Tamandua tetradactyla: one gene and its partners. The protein of the gene in region 1 interacts with the protein of each later gene in a biochemical or structural test. Links are inferred from orthologs where the notes say so. Each region holds a gene or a part of one and is shown in the gene's direction. Other genes may lie near its edges.

Region 1 (7,435 bases):
CACTGAACAGCCTCAAGGTACTAAAACAGAAGCATGCCTAGTATGTCTGAGGAACAGCAAGGGGACCAGTATGGATACAATGAAGCAAACAAGTTCAGAAAAGTAGCAGGAGTGAAGATAAGAGAGGCACTAAAAGGGACAGATTCTGTAGGACCTCAGAGGCCATTATAAGGATGTGAGCTCTTACTCTTTAAGAAAACGGAGCCACTACGGGATTTTTGAGCAGAGGAGTAATATAATTTGACTTACATTTTAAACTGACGACTATGAATACTGTGCTGAAAATTGGTTGTAGTGGGCCAGGGAAGAAGTAGGGAGACCTTTCAGGAAGTATCGCAGTAATCCAGGCAAGAAAAGGTAGACCAGGCTCACAGACATAGCAGTGGAGATGGTGAGAAGTAGTGTTTTGGGATATATTTTGTAGGTACAGCCAACAGAACTTACTGATAGATGTGGGATGTGAGAGAAAGACATCAAGAATCATGCCCAGATTTTTAACCTCAGCAACTAAGATGGGAAAGGCTATAGGTACAGAATATATGAAGAGCATCTGTTCAGTTTTGGACCTGTTAAATCAAAGGCACCTGTTTCTTTCAGCTTCACTTGTAAGGCCAACCCCAGGCAATCAAACAGTACCCTATCCTACCAACCAACCCCAGGCAGTGACAGTCTCATAGCACTTTGCCTTCTGCTTGGGTCACATATCTCATAGGAGGGTTTCTTTGGTATGCATATAAAATGGAAGTGGGGCAGGGATGTCAGCAACCAAATTGGCTGAATTCTGACCACCTCCTCTAACTCACTTTTTTTCCCTATCCTCATTTCCTTGGAATTTTGTGCCCTAATAAAATAGCATAGAAGCTTTTGCCTCAGGTTCGCCTTCTGGATGAATTCAGGCTAAAAGAACTTCCAGATATGAATAGGTAGTTGTTAACATGAGTCTGGAGTTTGGGAGAGTGATTTGGTGGAGAAGATATAATTTTGAGAGCTGCCAACATATATGTGGTATTTACAATTATGGAACTGGATGAGAGTACAAAGGAGTGAACACAGATAATGTGAAACATGAAGATGATGACAGGTTGAAAATTTTAGCATATTTAATGTTTTGTTTACTAGTGCTTATTCCCTAAATATTTTTGGAATAAATGAAACAGGTCACCATGGCCTTGGAAAATCAAGTCATGAGAGATGATGAACTAGGGAACAGGCAGGGTCATGGAACTTGAGATCATGGTAAGGGTAAAAAATAGGTTCACCAACGGAAGCAAGAGAAAAGAACAGGAAAAGGAAGTTGTGGTTAGAGAAAAGCACTCAAATATCACTTTATCATTTATTATCTACTGATGGAACCTTCCCTCTTTCCCGGACCTCTTCCACGACACTTATCTTATTCTATGTCAGGTTATGTCCATGTATACTCCTTTCATCTTCTCAAAATTAACCAGATTTCCCAGTTAAGAAACTGAGTCAAACATGGAATTCCAGAGACAAAAATTGAATGTTGAAAGTTTTCCATTTCTAGTTTTATGTCTTTGGTTTATGAAGATGCTAGAGCAGAAAACATGAAATTGGGAGACCAAATTTCAAATCTAGAACATACCCAAAATGTTTAGTGAAACAATTTGCACTTGAATGACCAAATGAATGAGTGAATGGACAAAGCTAGGTAGGAATAGAAGACACTAAGGGAGAAATTGAGGAGAGTATGATTTAATAACTGTTTGAGCCCCACTGGATGGACACTAGGGCATGAATCAAGAGGGGGAAAGGGTGTGCTGTCAGAGGCACCTAGGAAACTGGCAAGTAACTGATATTTGAGGGGACTGGGTCTAAACCAAGATCAGTATGAATGGAATAGAAAGATGAACGTGAGGAAATTTTAAAACAAAACATTACCAGATTTGGTGGGTGATACATACAAGCATGAATAGATAATTCCAAGAATTTGTTACCATTTATAGGGACAGAAAGAATTTGTTACCATTTATATAGGGACAGTAAGAAGAAAGATAATGGTTAAGGTAGGGAGATAAAGAGCTCAATTTTGAAAATGTATTTGACATAATGGTGAGATGTTCATAATAACAGTAATAGCTAATATTTTTATTAGTATTTGTTACATGCCACTCACTGTCCCAAGTACACCTCACATAAATAATCTTATTTAATCATCACAATAACACTATAAGGTAGATGACATTATCATTCTTATTTTACAGATGGAAAAACTGAGGCACATGAGTAAATAATTTGTCCTAAGTCACACAGGTAGTAAGTGACTGAGCCAAGATTTGAACCCCAAAATATTAAGAAACTGCCTGAGATCACACAGATATTTATTTATTTATTCAATAAACATTTAATAAGCACCTCTATGGTTTAGACATTGTACTGGTTTTAGGGATAGTAGGAGAGAGGAGGGGAAAAGTTGCCAGTGAACAAGACAGACATGGTCCCAACCTGCATTGACCTTATAGATTAGCTGGGTAGAAAGACACTAAACAAGCAATTACAAGTATAATGAATCAGAAAAGAAAAGTGGTAAGTTACAATTAGGTAGAAGTTGATGATAGAAAATAATTCCAGACAAAGGGAATGGCATATGTAAACGCCTTGAGATGAGACCCTACGGTAGGGAAAAGTAAGAGAAGAGAGACTGGAAAAAATGAAAAATAATAATATGGCTGGAGTTCAAAGATCTAGGAGGACAACTGGGGATGTAAGGGAGAAAGATAAGCTCAGGAATGGGGGCCTGGTCTCCACGAAAAGTGCAGACTGTGTTTGGTAAGCAGTGAGAAACAACTTAAGTGATTTTAGCAGGGTAAATCAAATGACTTTAGTCAAGGTGACTTGACTAGATTTGTATTTTTAAAATGATTATTCTGGCTACAGTGTGGCAAATGGTTTGGAATGAAGCAAGTACACTTTTGGAGTACCTGGATGGTGGTTAATACAGGACTTCAAGCAAGAGGTAAAGGTAGCCTAAACTAGAGAGTGAGTGAAAAGGTGGCCATGGGAACAGTGAGGTGACAAATCCAAGAAATATTCATTAATATTTCACTTAGACAGGTCTAAATGATTCTGAGGTGTATCACAAGTATCCCAGGAGTTTGGCTTGAACTAGGTAGATGGATAGCATGCCCTTTACTGAATCTAGGACTATGGGAGGAGAGTGTTGAAGGAAAGATTTGATATATATATACATATATACATATATATACAGAGTAAGTCTGATGTGCCCCAGCCATCCAAATGAAAATGTAGAATAGGCAGTTGAAAACACTAACCTAGAATTCCAAGAGCAAAATCGAGGCTTGAAGTATGGATTGCAAAGTCTTTGATAGAGGGCATCAGAAGCCAATGGGAGATGAGATCATGTGGGAAAACATCTATGGTAAGACTCAAGAAGAGGAGAGCTCAGCTCAGCAGAATTCCAATATTTAAGTGCTGAATAAAGGAGAAGGAACTGGTTATTAAAGAGCAGTCAGAGGGTTAAGAGGAAATTTTTGACATGAGAGCTGAGGGAATAGCCTATTTGGAAGAGGATGTGATCATAGTGTCAAATGCAAGGATGACTAGATTTAAACGACTAGATTTAGAGAAAGAAGCTTGTCTGTCACAATTCAGAGCTGTTTCAGATTAAAGGGTAAGAACAGACGCAAGACTGGAGAGCTGAGTGGAATGTAAGAGAATGTCCATAAAGTAGAGAACAATTGGGGTTCTGGTTGGACAGGATTGTATGGAGAAGAGAATCTTTTTTTTTAAATGAGATGAGACTTAAGCATGTTTAAATGCTGATGGGAAAGAGGCCATAGAGAAAGAACCACTGAAAATACAAGAAGGAAAAGGAGATAACTCTTTAGCCTAAAGCCCCTGAGAAGGTTGGCATCAAGGGTACAAGCTCCAGGAAGGGCAACTCTTACTCTCTAACAGGAAGCCAATAAGTGGCAGACCCCGGATTTGAACTCTCTTTGTGTGCTTCTAAAACATATATTTGCTTTGTGGGACAGAAAGAGAATTAATAGACATGAAAGCCCGGGAAGAACTGCAGAGTTCAATAAAAAGGAGAATAGTCAGTAGTGTGGCCTTGGACGACCTCTGAGAAAACGCTTTCGGTAGCGTGGACGCAACGGAAGTCACACTGTCCGGGTCTGGGGAGGGTGAGTGGTAAAGAAAAGCGTGCGGTGGGTGCAAACCCCTGAGGTAGAAAGCAGGCCGTGAAAAGGGAGTGACACAGGATGTTGTCTGAAGGCGCGCGGGTTGGGAGCTATTTTGAGTGTCGAAGAGCAGCCTGGGTCAAGACGGACAGATCACGCTCAGAGAAGGCCTCCGAGGGCAGGTGAGGTCACCTGCGGCCCTCTGCCGGTGCTGCTGGGTTGATCTCCGCAAGGCACCACCAGTCCCGGAGTTGCAGTTGAATGGGGACGGAGGATAAGAACAGCTCCACCCGCAGCCGCCAGGTTTTTCCGCTGATTTTCGTTGTAGGACAGTCTGGCCCCTCCCTACGGAGACCCTAAAATCCCCCAGGTCCCTTCCGAATAGTGCAGCGTCCTTGCGTCCCAGCGCCCGGCCCGGGCCCGTGACCCGGGGGCGTTTACAGGGGGGCAGCGACCCCTTCCTCCCTGAGCAAGCTTGTCCCGAGCACTCGAGTCGCGTCCCAGGCCAAGTGGCCCGTCTCCCACGTCCCGGCAGGGTTTGACACTCCCCGGGGCTGCCGGCGCCGGGGAACAGAGGCTGAACCGCCGCTTACCGCCGGAGAGACAGGACGGTGCGCCAGGTTCCGTCAAGTCTTCGCACCCCACGGGAATTCCTCATGGGGCCTCACACAAACCCCACTTCCTCCGTCAAATTTCCGAGGCCGAGTTTTACACACAGACAGGCAGCTGTGGGGTTTAGACCGACACCTAACGCCTGTCTCTCTTGGCGGAACGCCTTCGCCTCGCGCGAAGACCTTCGGCAAGTTCCGCCTCCAGCGCAGAGGGCGGGGCCGCTCGGTCTCCTTCGGGATGGGCTCGGTTGTTTCCGTGCGCGGCCGCTGCGCACTCGGCACTGGGCGGCGCTGGCTGGCTCCCTGGCTGCGGCTCCTCAGTCGGCGGCGGCTGCTGCTGCCTGTGGCCCGGGCGGCTGGGAGAAGCGGAGTGTTGGTGAGTGACGCGGCGGAGGTGTAGTTTGACGCGGTGTGTTACGTGGGGGAGAGAATAAAACTCCAGCGAGATCCGGGCCGCGAACGAAAGCAGTGACGGAGGAGCTTGTACCACCGGTAAGAGGAGCAGGAGGAGGAGGCAGGAGCCGCAGAGAGCCAGGGGGACGGAGGGGGGACAGGGAGGCGCCGGACACCCGCGCTCAGGGCCTTCCCCTCGCAGGAGGGGCCGCGGTAAAGATGGAGCCTCGGCCCGAGCCCCACAACATCGCCGCCGCTCGCAGCGAACAAAGAATAATGGCGGCGGACTGGAGCCAGCGGCGGCCGGGGCGGCAGCGACTCTGCCTGCAGCCAGCGGCGGCGCTCATGGCGGGGGGCGGCGGGCTGCGGGCGGGGTGGGAGCCGGCGGCCGGGGGTGTATGCGGGCGGCCAGCCGCGGCGAGCTGGCGCCCGCGTTCCCGCCGCCGCCGCCGCTGCCGCCTGACCGGGCTGGGCGGGCGCGGAGCCGGGAGCCGGGAGCTGCCCCGGGGGAGGCCGCCCGCCAGACCCAGCGCGGCCCCCCGCGCCGCTCGCCTGGGCTCCGGCCCTCACCTCGCCCCCGGCCCGGCAGTCTGCCGTGGCAGCCGCCACCGGGGTGCCCGTGGTGGGTGGAGAAGGAAGAAGGCGACAGTTGAGGGCAGGGGAGGTGAAGGTGGTGCTGCCTTCCCGGTAGCCTCCGTGTCTGCCATGCCCGCTTCGCGAGGGGAAGAGCTGCAACGTCTGACCTACTCTTCACTCTCTTTGTGCAATAAAGTTCGAAACCGAAGGTTTCCTTTTGTATGTATTTTATTTATGCTCTCTTCACCCCGTCCTGCTCCTACCCCATTGGGCAAATGCTGTTTTCTGCTTAGTTGAGGTGATAAGAGTTCATTCTTTTTTAAATAATTATTTACGCTTTTTCTCAACCCCCTCCCTTTTTCTTTTTAAGTTAGTAGTCGTGGAAATGCATTCTTTCTGGGAGGAAAGGGTACTAAGAAAACCATTTTTGTAATAAAAAAAAGCTGTTGGGATCTTGTAAAAGGGAAGCTGGGGTTTGAAACAGTTTCGGTTTTAACCCTTTTCAATAAGGTAATAATCACTTGAGGTTCATTATTCTGAAACACTTCGTTAAAGCGGACATAAGGTGATCGCACTTACGTTTTACATCGCTTTTTTCGAGGTTGGGGGGCAACCTTGCCGACGGCTTTTGGGTCGTTTGGATTTCCTCCTACCCCCCCATCCCGCCCCACCCTTCGCCATGTTTCCCACACATTTCTGTCTAAACTTAAATAAGAGATTGATACTGTTTCTAAAAATAGGCATTAAAAAATTTCGCTACTTGTATCGCATGCTGTGGTTTATACCAGTCTGGGATTAACAACAATTTAAGCCATAAGACTTTTTCTTCACCTGTTGGAAAGAAAGGGACTGCATAAAAGTCATTGACATCTTAAAGACAATTTATGAAAACCTGGAGTGTGACCTATTTAAGTTTGTCGTACCTTTCCAAGAAGTTAGAATCTCATTCTAGCCTCAGCTATCAATAAGGTCGACCTTATAAAGGTTTCGAAGAAGATACTTTAGGCTGCTGACTGTTGAAATCTTTACATTGACTGCTCATTTCCCAAGAACAATTATTTTCGGTGGTGCGAAAGATAAAACAGTTATATGTTTAAAAAAACTTATCTGTCACAGTAGATAGAAAATGTGATTGATACATACAGGACCTCTTGTTAATGGTAAATATTGATTGGGAGTAGAAGCACCGACTCTTGATTTTTCTGAATCCAAGTTTCTTTTACGAAAACTATTTTGCTGTATTGCTAGTCTTTGAAAGACAACATTAGCAGTTTGTCATTGCTGAGAAACCTAATTAAGAAGATGCAGTAAAGGGAGTTGTTCTGTTAGAATTGGGATAATGATTTTATTTCTAAAGTTGAGAAAATTATTATATTTGCTTATGGTAAATTACTATTGAAGAAGAATTTTTCCTTGAGAAAGGTTTTCTGCAAGCAAACATCTAGAATTTTTTCTATAAAGAATACACTGTGTTGACAGTACACTTTGTGAAATTAAAAAAAAGTTGTTTTCTGATGTGTTATTTTCTTCCTGGTCTTGTCCAAAAGATCTTTTAAATTTTGTTTTTATTTACAGGTTCATAATTTGTGATTTTGTGCAATTCTAGGGGGAAACTTTTGAAGCTTTTATGTTCATTAATATCTGAATATTCACTTGGTTTATGGAACTAAATTATATGTGTGTCCCCTCTCAGGA
Region 2 (8,039 bases), on another chromosome or scaffold:
GTACGATCTTCTCAGATTTTTCCTTCTAGCTAAAGAACACTTACGGCAATATACAAGATTCCAAAAGGGTTCAAATCACTAGAGTAATTTTCCAGAAATCTACAACCTCCAGATGGGTCTCTCGTCCAGATAAGTCCTGAAATCTAGAGGGCCCAGCCTATCCATAACATAACATAATTTCATCTCCTTACCCCATATTAGTAACAAACCCTTCCAATCTGAAAAATTTAGAATGGCCATAGCCCAAACACCCCTAACAAGAAGGATGAAAGATCAAAAGTGATGTTGGAGGTTAGGTAGTATTAAATTCATATTTCAGATTAACTTCATGTATTTTAATTTACTTTTGTCCTATTTTGTTCAAAATAATGCGGTAAAATAACTGATTACGTTCATGCTTGCACATATATATGGTTAATCAGTTTTTTGCCTACAAAATACTTATTTATCATCAACTTCTTGATCTTAACCAACTCTCATTCAGGATAAAAGGGAAAATTTTAGGCACAGATTATGCTAAATCTCAAATATTGCAATAAAGTACCAATAAGGCACCAATTAACTTTTATCACTATTAATACAGATGAATACCCTTCAGTTAATATTAGTTATGTGAATTTTAAGATTTTCTCCTTTTTTATTCCTAAGAACAACTTCAAACTGAATGAACATATCTTTTGTGTGAACTTACCAACAAAGGTATACAAATAATTAAGAAAATCGGCCTATTTCCTTTATCTTAATATACTATCTTCAGACTGCTTTCTAATGGATGTAGTAATGAGTACTCAGACTGAAGGGGAAACATAGTTGAAGGCCCCTGTTCACAGAGGTCAGAAGAAACACATAGAAATAACTAATACAGAGCAAATGTGATAAGAGATACAGGTCTAACTTGCTTCAAATAAGTACAGGGGCCAGAGGAATTACTACCAGGTTTGGGGAAAACTAGACTATATTTTAAGAGGATTGTTGGGAGTCCCAGAGGAGTTGATGGAAAGCATAAATGCAGAGTGTGGGGAACATTTTCAGTTTGGATGCAGCACAAAGTAATATGAAGGAGAACAGGTAAATATACAACTGAAAAGACAGAATAGGTCCACATCATGAAAGCTGTAAAGGTCAGGGCAATGAGCATAGATATTATTCAGCAGACAAAGAGGAATGTCATGATTACAGGTGCGCTTTTCTAATTATTAAATATAATGTGTCAGTGATATTAAAATGGGTAAGATAGCTGGCTCTGAACCGTCTGGGAGTATGCCAATCCTGCTGATACCATGCATGCAATGTTTTCCAGGCACCCATAGCTGCTGGCTTCTGGCAGCGGTAGGCCAATGGGAAGCACTGGTGGGAGACTGGAAGTCAGAAAGAAGAAATCAGCTCCTTTATTAGAGAGGTCCACTTTTCATGTTCCACACAGTCAATCTAGCCTCTGGGTTGCTTCATTTATCTTTGTTCTCCTGCTTCAGATTGATTTCTTACTCTTTCTAACATGAGTCACCTTATGTTTGACCTCTCAGCTCTTCTATCACCAATATAACCAATTTCCTCATTAAATTCCCTCCACATTACAGATTCATATTGACTGGTTTATGTTTTCCTGGATGATGACTCATGCAGAAAGCTAATTAACCTATTTCAGAATATAAGAAAGTTCTGGACTTTTCATAAATAAAAATGCCCCCACTTGCCCATAAACTTTAATAGTTATGCCCAGAACTCTTGAAACCTATCCATTAATTCCAGATAAGAATACTGAAAAAGACAAAGAGGTAAACACATAGCTACAATAAAATAAGTAACAGACAATGCTATGAGAGCATTTAAGAATACTAACTAACCTTGGAAGAGGTTTCAGAGATCAGGTTTGATTTGAACTAGAGTAAAAGTGTATGAGGTAGAGAAGGAGAAAAGCACTGTAGGTTAAGTGGATAGAATACATAAGAACATGTGGAGAAATTGCAAATAGCTTGGTATGCTGTGAGCATACTGCTGAGGTTGAGAAGCTAAGATCACGCATGATTGGGATAAATTACACAAAGCATTTTGTATGAATACTGATAAACCAAACTAGCGAGCCAGAAGCAATAAGCTATGTTTTGATGTATTTTTGGCCTAGACTATTTAAAGAAATCTCAGTAAGGCAATAGTTATCTGTAGCTGAGTAGTAACCAGGGCTGTTCAGGTAAAGTAGTGAGTAAGAAACACACAAGTCAGAGTGCAGTGTTCTGAAGAAAGAAGGGTAGATAAGGAAGTAGAGCAAGTAAGTAGAATTCACTGTTCTTTGAATAAGCTTCAACTGTAAAAGGGTGCTATAGGGCATTAGATAGAATGTGAGGTGGTATCTAGTAAAGTGTTTTTAAGGGTAAAAAACCTAATTTTGTGGACTCTAAGGGGTGATCTTATTTTTCTCTTCATTCTTAGCAATTAGCACAGCATTTGCAACATACTAGGCACCCAAAAATTGGCTGAAGGAATTTTATGAAGAAAAGGGACCTATAAGTAAGAGAAGAGCTGAAGGGGAGGTGGATATGGATGGGAGTAAGAACCATGAGCAAATAACAACATTAATATTTTAAGCCACTAAGTTTCAGAATGGTAGACCTTTATGTAGTGATTTGGAAGGAGCTTCAAAATATTATGCCAAATGAAAAAGCAAGCGCAGTGAGTGTGGGGCACCTTGCCATTTTGTTGTTGTTCTATATATCCTTTTGCACAATTTGAAGTTTTAGTACGTGCAAAATTGTTTCAACTTTTAAAATAGAAGATGTAGTGCAAATGCTTTAGAAAGATTGTTGTAACAACAGTAAATAAGATGAATAGCAAGAAGGAATCTATATGGATGGGAAGCTATGACAAAAAGCCCAAGTAAGAAGTAATACACAAAATGTGGATTAGAAAGAATTTTAGGATAAGACAACAATGACTGGAGTTTTTATCCATTAAAAAAGGTAAAAAGTCAGAGCAGCCAGTTTGTGCAGAAGAAATATTCACAAATTGATGTGGGGTATTCCAAATGGATATTGAAATTGCTTTTATAAGTTTAGCAGTTCTCAAATAGAGATGATTTTGCCACCCCCACCCTTCCCCCCAGAACTTATTTTCAATGTCTTAAGACATTTTTCCTTGTCACAACTGGGGGAATCCTACTGGCATCTAGCAGGTCGAAGCTAGGAATATTGCTAAACATCCCACAATGCACAGGACACCTCCCCATAACAAAGAAAATCTGGCCCAAAATGTCAATACTGTGGAGGATGAGAAACCTTGTTTAAGACTATGGTTCCTGAAACTAAACTGGATTACAAAACTGCCAAAACTCAAAATGCTTATGTAAATAATGAGGAAAAATAAAGCATGTCAAGGTACACCGTGAAAGTATACTATTGATTGGCTTACATATATTAAATGTAACAATTACAAGATCTCAGGTTTTTACGACAGATACTGATGCAGGTTAACTACGTCCTTATTCAATCCTGATAAAACGAGCTAAAGATCAACCAAATATTCGTTTAAACTTAAGTCATTAAATTGGTTTCTCCAAACGGGGGGGTGGAACCATTTCTCTCTAATGTTTCATGCCAAACGTGCTCATCAAGGCCGCCGTACAAATACCGTTGTTTTTCGACAGGGCTGGATATGTAAAAAAAAAAAAAAAAAGGAACAAGACAAATGGGTTTTTCTAATGATAAAATAATGGCAGTAAAGGCTATGGACACTGTGAGAGGTTTCATCACTGCTGCTTACATTTAGGGGTGTCACATTTGTCTGTGTTTAACTGGCTCAGGTTTTGAGCTTTACATGTCTCACGTTCTCAGCAGTACAATCCTCTTTCTTCCTTCAGGGGACGGACAACAAAACCCGGTGGCCCACAAAGACAATACACACTGACAGACAACTAGTCCATGGGACAAACTCTCCTCAAACGGAGGAAAAACTACCGAGGGCTAGAAAATATTCAATTAAAAGGCATTTCCTCTCTTAAGTTTTTGGTTAATCAAAGGAATAGGAATCGACTTATTCGGCCGAATTATTACGGAGAGCGGGGAAAAGAAGAGAATCACCCTCACTCGTCCCAAATTCGTAGTTGTGTAAAGGCGAGATATGCGAAGGACATCAGGAAGATCTCTCTACAAAGCCAAGCGGCTGCGGTGGAAGTTCTTCTTTTGACTGCTCGGACCCAACTATGACCAGCGAAAGTAACTCGAAGGTTGAAGAAAGCGCAGTCTGTTCGTCACGTAGGCAACTCTCTTTCAGGTATCTCTACTTAAGTGCCCAGGCCTGACTTTTCCCTCAGAATCTGGGCCCCAGGTGTACCACCCCCTGCTTCTCGTCAGCCCTCCTCTCCTACGCAAGCCTCTGAAGAGCACCCGCACAAAGAGTCTTAAACTGCCCAAAGCCTCCGGCTGAAGCAGAATCACCCCAGGTTTGAACTTGTGGGCGGGGAGGCAAAACCTCTAAGCTCCCCCGCCCAGGGAAAACCTTTGGCCCCCAAAGGTCCTTCCGTCCTGCTTTTCCTGGCCCAGTAACCCTCTCTCTCGCATCCGCGCTTACCCAGTACCAGCCGGGCTACATCCGAAGGTAACAACATGATTGAAGTCTCAGAAGGAATCACAATAAGAGAAGAGACGCAGGTAAAGGCAAACACAAACCACAGCTCCAGCGCCGCATCTCCCGGTTCCAGCCGCGGCACTGAACCCGCGGCAACTTGTCCCGCCTCTTTCGCTCCACGCTAGCCAATCGGTTCCGCGAGAGAAAGAAAGGCGCCGAAATGAGACCCGCCCCCGTTCTCCTTGAAACTGTCGTCATTTCCGCCCTTATATTAGCAAGGGAGAGGCTGAAAAGGGCAAAGAGGCGGGGTGTAAGAGACTGAGCCCGAGATCGAACGTCAATTGAAAGCTCGCTCTCCATTGGTGGAAAAGGCGCAGGCGCGTTTCCTGAGAGAGGCCAAGTGTTTTGGGACGAGTATTTTGAGCTAAGGAAAGCGCACGTGATATTTGGCGCGCATGGGCAGAGCGTACGTCGGCGTGGATTTAGCAGAGCCCCTTCCTCCCAAGACCCGCGCTGCGCGGTCACGCCGCGTTTTAACCGAAAGCGGGAATAGGCGCATGGATAACGGGTTCGAGAAGCTACAGCTGCAGCTGCTGGAGGAGGCGAGAAAATCGGGAATTTGAGCTGCAGCCAACGCCACGTCAAGAGATACCACTTTGGCCACCAGTGCCGTTACCGTCGCAGTTCAGCGGTAGGGGCGCGGAGGCAAGTTTCTGCTTTCTACGGTGGAGAATTCATTCGTATCTGAGCCATTCTGTCCTCTCTCCCAGACTCCCATTTTTACGTTTTCTTCCAGAGTGTCCCTTTACGCCACCTGCTTCACCTCATCTTTCCACACCTCCCCCCACCTCTACTTCCACCACCCACCCCATTACCTTCTCTTGTCTCCACGCCCCTAGCGGATTTAGCCTTGAACCCTCTTATGAATGTCTTGCTTTGAACCCACCTCCTGAATTGGCAAATCAGCTGTTCCTTTTTAGTCCTTAGCTAGGTTTATTTGATCCTTTCGTGGAATTTGACAATGTTGCCTACGCCTCATCTTTCTGGAAATAAATCTGCCATTGACAGATGGCTCTGTAGTCAGATATAATTGGTTCACGTCGTGGCTCTCTGCCACTTATAAAACGTATAATCTTGGGCAGATTGAATCATCTCTCCAAACATTTCCTCGGCGATAATAAAAGAAACTAATCTCCTATGTCAAAGAGTTTTGAGGATTCATGTACCATTTTTAACATAGTTCCTGGAACACAACAAATGAACAAGGGTATTGTTTAATAGTTGAACCTGTCGAAGAGACGTGAGTGCTCTTCTCGTGCTTTAACTATCTCTGTTCATCTTTCATGTCTCAACTTAAACGTCATGTTTCTTTAGAAGAGATCTCTTTAAAAAAAAAGTAAATGATCCTTTTCTTATTTTTTTCATATTCCTGTTAAAGCACTGTTTTGACCCATTCTAAGAGAATTTAATTTTAAATGTGGGAATATTAAGAAAAGTATTTGCCTTTGGTCACATTTTGTCTCTTGCACAATTAGATGTAACAATTATATATTAATTCCATGGTCTAAACTAATTTTGAATGCTTATGTATTTTCTACAGACAATTATATGTGATCTGAAATTCTGAACCATGAGTTTAGCACTTAATGATCTGCTTATTTGCTGCCGTCAACTAGAACATGATAGAGCTACAGAGCGAAAGGTAGTAAATTACTTTAATTTTTCTTTAAAGGGTTGTATGATTGGTAACCCATTATTATGTTCATTTTTCATTTTCAGAAAGAAGTTGAGAAATTTAAGCGTCTGATTCGAGATCCTGAAACAGTTCAACATTTGGATCGTCATTCAGATTCCAAACAAGGAAAATATCTGAACTGGGATGCTGTTTTTAGGTATTCTATTCAATTTTTTTGCCTTTATTTTTCTCAATTTCATTTTCAGTTGTTTTCACATTAGGTTTATGTGTGATCTTATCTTTGCTCTCTATAAACTACTGTACCTTGCATATGAAGTTAATGTTTAATATGTTTGTCTGAAATACAGTTTTTAAAGGAGGTTTATATAGAAAAATTAAAAATTTTAAATCATTTGTTTCATAAAATGTCTTAGGCTTATCTCACTCGAGATAAATTGAGAGGGAATTCCTTTCATCTTGGTCAGTTTATAAGACTTTATTTCAAATTAGAGAATGAAATTAAGCTATAGTAAATACTTAATTATAACTTTGACAACTTTAAATATTGCTTTTGAGTATAAGTAACTACCATGTGCTAGATTATAATGAAGTAAATAAAGGAAGATTAGAAAACTTTCATATGGATACAATTTAAAAAACAAAACTCAGGCAATGGCATATTTTCAACTTCAACCTCTTCAAGATCAAAGAGAGAGATGTTTATTTAGTGCAAACTTTATATTCTAGGTAGAACTTATGTAATTTGCCTTGTACTGGTCAGTTTACTTGAACACCATAATTACATGGAGTCTTGAATAGGGCATGAGATCTTGTTTTTCTACAGGTTAGTGTAATGTGGGATATATCCCAGAGTAATTTGGACAGAAAATAGAAAAGTATTTGCAAAGTTCCTTTGTGGGACTGGGGAGAAAGAAGGAATGTTCAACTTCCCTATCTGGGGAATTCCTAATATTCTTGCAAGCAATGGGGACAACCAATTCAGTGGGCTGAGCCCTCAATCTTGGGATTGGCCCCTGTGAAGCATATTCATACAAAGGAAAGGCTAAGCCTATTAATAATTATGCATAAGAGTCACCCTCAGAGAGCCTCTTTTATTACTCAGATGTGGCCTCTCTCCCTAAGCCAACTTGGTAGGTGAACTCAGTGCCTTCCCCCCTACGTGAGACATGACTCCCAGGAGTATAACTCTCCCTGGCAGTGTCGGACCTGACTGCTGGGCATGATCCAGGACACAGCATTATGAGAATGAGAAAGCTTTCTGACCGAAAGGGGGAAGAGAGAATGAAAGATAATAAAGTCTCAGGGGCTGAGAGGTTTCAGACAGTTGAGAGGTTATCCTGGAAGTTATTCTTATGCTTTATATAGATGTCCCTTTTTAGTTTATGGTATATCGGAGTGGCTAGGGGAAGGTATCTGAAACTGTTGAACTGTGTTCCAGTAGCCTTGCATCTTGAAGAACACTGTGTAACTGTGCAGCTTTTCACTGTGATTGTGTGATTGTGAAAACCTTGTATCTGACGCTACTTGTATCCAGGATATGGACAGATGAGTAAAAAAGGGGGGGAGGGATAAAAAAAATAAATAATAGGGGAAAAGAAAGGGTAAAAATTGAGTAGATTGAAAGACTATGGGTCAATGAGAGGAAGGGGTAAGGGGTATGGGATGTATGAGATTTTTCTTTTTATTTCTTTTTTTGGAATGATGTAAATGTTCTCAAAATATGGTTGGACGGTATGTGTGTGGATATTTCTCATTAAAAATATTAAAAAAAGAAAAAAACTCAGGC
Region 3 (7,614 bases), on another chromosome or scaffold:
TATCTCTAGCCTTAATCTCTCTTCTGAGTTCCACATAGCTACTGAATATTGGCGTAGAATATCTCAAAAACTCTTGATATTCTCCCTGAAATATTTTTGTCCTATAATCAGCCCCTCTCATTAAATAGTACCACCATCCCTTCATCCACACAGTTGCTCCTGCTAGCATCCTTGGTGTATCATTTCAGACACTTTTTTTCCCCTCACTTACTGTGCTGGTTTGAATATGTGGTGTACCCCAGAAAAGCCATGTCCTTTCATCCTTATTCAATATTGCTGGGTGGGAGTTTTTTGATTATCCATGAAGATATGACCCACCCAATTGTGGGTGGTAACTTCTGATTAGATGGTTCCATGGAGATGTCTCTCTACCCATTCAAGGTGGGGTTGCTTACGGGAGTCCTTTAAGAGGGAACCATTTTTGAAAAAGCTTTAGAACCATGACAGCCCATGCATCCAGAAACCTTTGGAGATGAAGAAGGAAGACGCCCCCAGGGGAGCTTCATGAAACAAGATGCAGGGAGAAAAACCTAGCAGACATTGCCATGTACCTTTCCAGCTGAGAGAAAAAATCCAGAACTTTGTTGGCCCTCCTAGAGTGAAGGTAACCTCTTGTTGGTGCCTTAAGTTGGACATTTTCATACCCTTGCCTTAATTTGGACATTTTCATGGCTTTAGAACTATAAACTTCAGCTTAATAAATTCCCCCTTTTAAAAAGCTGTTTGTTTCTGGTATATCACATTCCAACAGCTTTCATACTAGAACACTTACCAAATCCAATTCCTCATGAAGTCCAACATATATATCTAGAGATATTCCATTCCTCTCCAGATGTACCACACTCACTATTGTCTTTTGCCCAAACTAGAGTGATGGTCCCTTGCTCCATACAGTCCAAACACTAACCACAGTGACCTTTTTAAAAGACCATGACAATGAAATTCCTGCTCTCATTTCCCATTTCACATGGGATAAACTTCAAAAAATATTAATAAGGCCAACTACATACTTCGTGATTAGGCCTCTCCCTACCTTGTCCACCTCACCTCTTGCTTACTGTGCTGTATCCCCAATGGCTTTCTCTCAATTTCTAAAATACAACAGGCTCTTTGCCTGACTGTTCCTTGAATTCTCCACAAGGACCTGTGCAAAAGTCAGGGTAGGCTAGATTAAACTTTGGTAGCAAACAACCCCCAAATATCAGTGGCTTAAAACTAAACAGATTTCCTTATTGCTCACTTCACTGCCTGATGTAGGTCAGGTGGCTCTTCCTCAAGTGAGGACTCAGGGGTTTAGGCTCCTTCCAAACTGTGGCCTCACCATATAAAAATGTGGCCTTTGTGGTTTCTGTAGAAAGAGAAGAGAGTGTGAGTGATCATGCATGCTGTTTTCTGGCCAGCTTTGGAAATGGCAGAGAACAGTTCCACCAACACCATAGTGGCCAAATCCCAGTCATACGATCGTAACCTAAATGCAAAGGAGGCTAAAAAGAAAAAAAAAAAAAGTAGTCTTCCTGTGTGTCCAGGAAGAGGAAAGGAGATTGGTAAGCAGCTGCCACATACTGGTTAAAACCTACTGCTTTTATAGATAAAGCTTAAATACTACTTCCTTAGGCCGTCAACCTAAATTAGGATCCCCTGAAGTACTCTATTGTAGTAACCTATAATTTTCCTTTACAGCATGATCACAGTTGACATTTAAAATTTCTTTATGTGATTATTTAATATTTACTTCAATTTCTGGGCTGCAGAGTCTGTGAGAGCAAGGATTGCATCCACTTTGCTCCCACTGTGTCTCTAGCATATATCAAGCACTTGGTATATTAACTGGCATAAAAAGTTTTGAGTGAACAAATGAACGACTGCACACAGTCAGTCCCTGGCTCAAACAGCTTGCAACTTGTAGAGGAGAAAAACAATTAAGTAGGTAGCCATGGTTTAGTGTGATAAGCATTCCAGGGAGGCAAGACTAGGGAGCTATGGGGGGCAACGTAAAGAGCTCCCAACAAGCCTTTAGGTTGTGCTTTCTCTTCTCCAACAATCTAATCCAGGGGATGGCAACCTATGGGCTGTGGATCTAATGTGGCTCACTACCTGTTTCTGTGCCAGCCCACGAGCTAAGAATGGTTTTAACATTTTTAAATGGTTCAAAAACAATTAAAAGAATAACATATCATGACATGTGATTTTTTTTTTTTTTTTTTGCATGGGCAGGCACCAGTTATCGAATCCGGGTCTCCGGATGTGAAAACTATTGAACTTCACATTTCAATATCCATAAATAAAGTCTTACTGGAACACAGTTCACTTATTGTCTCTGAATGCTTTTGAACTAGAATGGCAGAGTTGAATTGGTATGAAAGAGACCATATGACCTGCAAAGCTTAAACTATTTACTATCTGGCCCTTGGAAAAAGTTTGTGATCCGTGATCTCATCCATTTAAAAGATAACATCTATGTGAACTACGTGCAAGTGTAGATCTTTCAGCCTATCCTTTCTCCAGTCTCATGTTCTCTTCCAGAAATTAGGCCCTCAGTAGTTCTATCCTTACAAGTGTTCATGCCCTGCCATTTCTCTCTTCCTCTCTTTTGTCCATCCTTCTCACTGCAACCAAAAGCTTACTTCCAAAAAACTACTCTTTGAGTCTTCTCATTGCGTATTAGCAGTATATTCAAGATTCTTCATTATCCTATCATACTTTACTTTTCACCTGTATTTCTTCCAACCAGCCTTATCAATCACTTAATCTACCTGTTGGGGATTGAGTCCTGTCCCCCATATAGAACATGTGGAAGCCTTAATCCCAGGGCCTGTGGATATGAACCTACTTGTGAATAGGACCTTTTAAGATGTTATAGTTAAGGTGTAGACTCATTTGTGAATAGGATCTTCCACGATCTTATTCAGATATAGCGAAATTGAATCAGTATGGGCCTTAAGCCATATGACAGGAATCCTTATAAGCAAAGGAAATCCCGGACACAGTCAGTTAGTAGAAGACAGAGAATGAGAGAGATTGCCATGTGATGGCCGGGATGGGGTGGGGGTGGGGGGGGCGGGGGCGGTGAGGTGTTTGTGGGGGGGGGGGGTAGAGATACATGGCAACCAACCCTAAGAATTACCAGCAAGCTATAAGGCTGCAGAATCCTGGAGAAAGCAAAGTCTGTCCTGCTGGAACTTTGATTCTGGACGTCTAGCCTCCAACACTGCGAGACAATAAATTCCTGTTGTTTAACCCAATCAGTGTGCAGTATTTGTTACAGCATCGCTGGCAAGCTACCCACCTCCTCCGCCTACTCTAATTCTTGGCCTGTGCTCACAATTATCACCTCTGTATGAAATATCTGAAGGCGAGAGGTCTATCCTGCCCATCCTTTAAGTTGGTTATCTCAAATGCCTCCTTTTCCTAAAAGCCTTCCCCACCTCCGCTACTGGGAATAATCGTTGCCCTCTGTGGATTCTCTAACACTTTTTACACTGTTCTATTTCAAATTCTGCCTTATATTATAATTTCCCGTGCATATACACACAGATCGTCTGTGTTTCCCGTTCTATTGAAAGCTTCTAACGGGTTTCTGTATTCTTTTAGCATCTAGGAAATGCCTTGTACGAAAAGGAAATTGCAAAATTCTTCAACGGACCTGGTTTTGTGAATGTTGTAATCTCTAAGAACGACTTGTATTTTAAGACTTACCAGAGAGAGTAACGCCTCTTTAGGCCACGCTGTCTTCCAGCTGGTCACACACTTCAGAATGTTTGCTGTTTGGGACCCTGGTGTGTCAGTAAACACGTGGGTGAGGGGCGCTTCCCTTCAGGTCCCGCCTCTCTCCACGGTGATTGGCGGATCAAATGTACCAATCAGCCCTCTCCGCCTCTTTCGGCAGCAGCCAATCAAAGAGCCCGAGAGCCTCCTGACTACTAGACACTGTTTACTAACAGATAGAAGCTGGGGAATAAGGGGTGTGACCGTTCAGGGGGTCAGGGAAGGGAAGGTCTTGACAGCGCATGCGCACTAAAGGAAAGCTCCAAAGGGAAGAACAGGCCTCCACCAATCGGAGTGGTCGCGCTCCTCCCTCTCCTGCCTCCCCGCCAAGCAACAACAATTCGAGGAGAGGGGCGGGGCGGCTCCTGTAACGTCAGAAAGAATTGCCCAATGGGAGCCGGCGTTGACAGATGCGCGCGCCCTATGCCCAATAAGCGATGGCGGTTCGAAAGGCTCCTCTACCTTGATTGTTGTGGGCGGAGCGGCTCGAAGGAGGAGGCGGTGGAGCAGGGGGCGGTTTGGTTGCGCGGTACTAGCGGTGCCCGCCGAAGGGGGAGGAGGCGGAGGAGCGAGCCGTGCGGCCAGAGCGGGAAAGAGACTCGTCTGTGAGTCCGAGTTCTGGAACCGCTACAGCTCGGCACCTGGGGCTGCAGCAGGGTCTGCGAGCGGCCAGGCGTCCTCTGTCTCCCGGGTTCCCCTCGTAACGACCCCGTGGGGTCGGAAGAAGGGAGAAGATGGAGGAGGAGGGAGGTAGCGGCGGCACCGCCACCGCGGCGGGAGCCAGCGGCGACGGGGAGGAGCAGCTCCTCACGGTCAAGCACGAGCTGCGGACGGGTGAGCCACCCCGCCCTCTGCCGGCCGGGCCGGGCGCGAGGGTGCCCTGGGGATACGCGGATACCCGCGTGGGGCTGGGGGGCGGTGGGCTGGGGCTTCCCCGGGCTGCGGGCGGGAGCGGTGGGCGTCGAGGGGCGGGCCCGGGGCGGGGCCTTGTCGGGGGCTGGGCGGGAGCCAGGGTTTGGGGTGGGGAAATGTGGGGAGATAGGGGCGCGCCTGACGTAGCCGGGCCAAAAGTTTTTGGGAGCCCGGGAATGAGCGGCGGGCGTGGGGCGCTGGGGTCCTCGAAGCAGCCGACAGCTGTTGGCACTTGTCTCTGAGGATGTCTTCCCTCCCCCCTTCCCGCACAGGTGACATATCTGTCACAGCATCCTGTCTAGGGTGAAAGATGCGCCTTTCTCAATATGGGGTGACCGATACTTTGTTTTGGTGCGTGACTCACTCCACCCCTCTGCTTCCCGTGAGTTTTCCTATGGGGTTTGTGGAACCATCTCCTAAGGTGCTGTGGTCCTTCCTGTACGAGATAAATGGGCGGCTGTTCCTCCGGCTTTTGTAAGTCCGGTCTCCAGTGGAATAAGGAAGGGATCGCAGGCTCCAGGGACTAAATGCTTTTATTTACAATTGTCGTGAAACACTACACCTGGCCTGGAATTTTTGACTCTTGAGATGAAGGCTCTGTACATTTAAAGCTCTAGGTGTACAGCGACTAGCTAGCTGGCTTACGGGCTTCCTTCCTAGTATTTGATATCGCTGGAGTTGCTCTGAGCTTTATACTTGTTCAATTACTTTATTCGTTGCATGTGGATATGAATTGTTCATTTTGGAAAGTGCTTATTTGGACTAATCAGTACAGTTTGGATTTATATTTGTGTACCCTAATCTCTTATTAGAGATCCTTTTTCATTTCTGAACAGAAAATATACTTTAAATTAGAATTATCCACCTTTATTATTAAATGTTTTTGAGGCATTTGTTAAGGCTGTCGGTAACAACTCATTTGTAACATTGGCATATTTTATTATGTAGACAAAGTTTATACAACAAATTTCAGATGTACATCTTTTGTTTCTGTTTTGAACAGATTGTAAAGGTAGCTCTGTTTCTCCTTCTTTTAGTTTTTGTTATTTTTAAGGTGATTGCTGGTTAGCATTCCATTGAGGCCAGTGTGGTGACTTAAGACATACATTGTATTCATGCCTTAATTCAACTTAAAAAAATTATTGTTTGTGATCTTTGTGAATCTCATATACTTGAGCCAGTAACTCCGTAATCGTTTTGAATTCATAGCTTAACCTAGATGGGTTTGTTTTTCTCTCTCGATTTAGTAAACAGTTGATCTTTTCAAAGGGTTAATAAATCATTTACTCTATAACCATTTATTATTATCTGATTTAAACCAGACTCTGGATTAGGTGCTTTCTGCTGTGGAGATTTTGAATTTCTTTTTCTTGTCTTACAAAATAGTTCACTGATTCTGATGGTAGAGTTGTGATGTACAGAAAAAGCTACTAGAAATCATATTCCCTTTAGCCATTTACCATGGTGTAACAAGCAGTGTTTTGCTAAATGACCAAGAAGCAACCTACTGAGGAGTAGTAGTCAACCAACTGCTTAGTTTCTGGGTTTGCAAACAATGTTAAATTTGTAGAAAACAATGAGTGCTGCTTTATTTCCCCTTCTCTACTGTGTGAATCATCTGCTTCAAGTTTGCATTTTAGAAATTTTTCTGATGGATGGTGAGATTATACTGAATTAATCAGTACTGTTAACTGTCAAAGGAAATGAACAGTCATTTTGACTTACTGCTGAACACTGAACAACTGACCGGATATAGTGATGAAAAACACTGGTAAAATATAACAAGAAGATTTGCTCATCTTCAGCCAACTGCACTCCTGTTAGCACATGATACTATAATAGGCACCGAAGTAATTTGATCTAATATGGTCTCTTGCTTCTCAAAATGTAGACAAGTATATAGTCATACCAAGTCCCAGTTGGTGATTGCCCATTTATGCTGAAGAGTGAGTAAAAAGCAATAAAAGTCACATGTAAGGGATGGAAATTACTCCAGTTGTATAGAGAGAATAGCATGACAAACATGGACATGGAGTGGAGCATTTAATTCTAAATCCCAGTTTTGCTGCTTACAAGCTGTACAGACTCTCTTAAGACTGACTTCTCATCTACAAAATGTGACAGTTAAATGAAACACTGTTGGGCAAGTGCTAAACAGTAAGTGTTGAATATAAATCTAAGCATCACCTCATAACAATATCTTGCATGCAAATCAATCCAAATCACTCAGTTGGTCCTTAGCTTATGCCACATTGCCTGGATGGTGCCTTTTTCTGTATGTTTCTTGCCTTCTCCAGGAGCTTAAATTCTTCTGCTCCTACTGAGAGCCGGTGCGTATCTTTTCAGAAACATTTACACATGGTGCTATAATAATCATTTACTTGTCTATGCTAGACTGTAAGGTACTTAAGGGCATTATACCATATCCTCTGTCCATTTTCAGTCCCTGACATATGGTAGGTACTCAAATAATGTTGAATGATTTAATTGAATGCTTGAAAATCCAGGACCAGTTCTGACAGTTTGTTGCAGTCCTATTTTCGTTTGCTAAATTCTGCTTGAATGCAATATACCAGAAGTGTAATGGCTTTTGAAAAGGGAGTTTATTAAGTTACAAATTTACAGCTCTAAGACCATAAAAATGTCAAAACTAAGGCATCCAGAAAAAGATGCCTTGACTCAAGAAAGGCCAGTGTCTGTCACATGGAAAGGCACATGGCTAGCGTCTGTTGGTCCTTATTCCCCATTCCGTTGCTTTCAGCTTCTAATGCCTAATGCCGGTAGTTTCCTCTCTAAGGGTCTGTGGACCTTCACTTAGTTCTTCTGGGACAAAGCTCTGGGTTCTGGCTTGCTTAGCATCTCATGGGAAGGCACGTGGTGACATCTGCTGGGCTCTGCATCTCCAAATGTTCATGTCTAGATGTGTGCTCTCTCTGT

What was found.
Region 2: of the proteins of CREB1 (region 1) and ATM, one has a biochemical effect on the other in vitro, tested with the Homo sapiens proteins (2 studies listed by BioGRID). The link is inferred for Tamandua tetradactyla from reciprocal best matches to the Homo sapiens genes CREB1 and ATM.
Region 3: of the proteins of CREB1 (region 1) and RPS6KA5, one has a biochemical effect on the other in vitro, tested with the Homo sapiens proteins (3 studies listed by BioGRID, with this or other methods). The link is inferred for Tamandua tetradactyla from reciprocal best matches to the Homo sapiens genes CREB1 and RPS6KA5.

Annotation. Positions count from the first base shown.
Region 1 is NC_135329.1:182,884,794-182,892,228, forward strand, and holds the start of CREB1 (cyclic AMP-responsive element-binding protein 1), read left to right. Parts: upstream 1-4,342; 5' UTR 4,343-4,463; intron 4,464-4,753; exon of another isoform or gene 4,754-5,263; intron 5,264-7,435.
Region 2 is NC_135334.1:33,611,607-33,619,645, reverse strand, and holds the start of ATM (serine-protein kinase ATM), read left to right. Parts: upstream 1-4,968; 5' UTR 4,969-5,248; exon of another isoform or gene 5,249-5,262; intron 5,263-6,157; 5' UTR 6,158-6,187; coding exon 6,188-6,259; intron 6,260-6,336; coding exon 6,337-6,449; intron 6,450-8,039. Other genes in the region: protein NPAT, read right to left, coding at 4,561-4,597.
Region 3 is NC_135338.1:51,712,747-51,720,360, reverse strand, and holds the start of RPS6KA5 (ribosomal protein S6 kinase alpha-5), read left to right. Parts: upstream 1-4,246; 5' UTR 4,247-4,499; coding exon 4,500-4,599; intron 4,600-4,829; exon of another isoform or gene 4,830-7,614. UniProt on the Homo sapiens protein: Serine/threonine-protein kinase that is required for the mitogen or stress-induced phosphorylation of the transcription factors CREB1 and ATF1 and for the regulation of the transcription factors RELA, STAT3 and ETV1/ER81, and that contributes to gene activation by histone phosphorylation and functions in the regulation of inflammatory genes.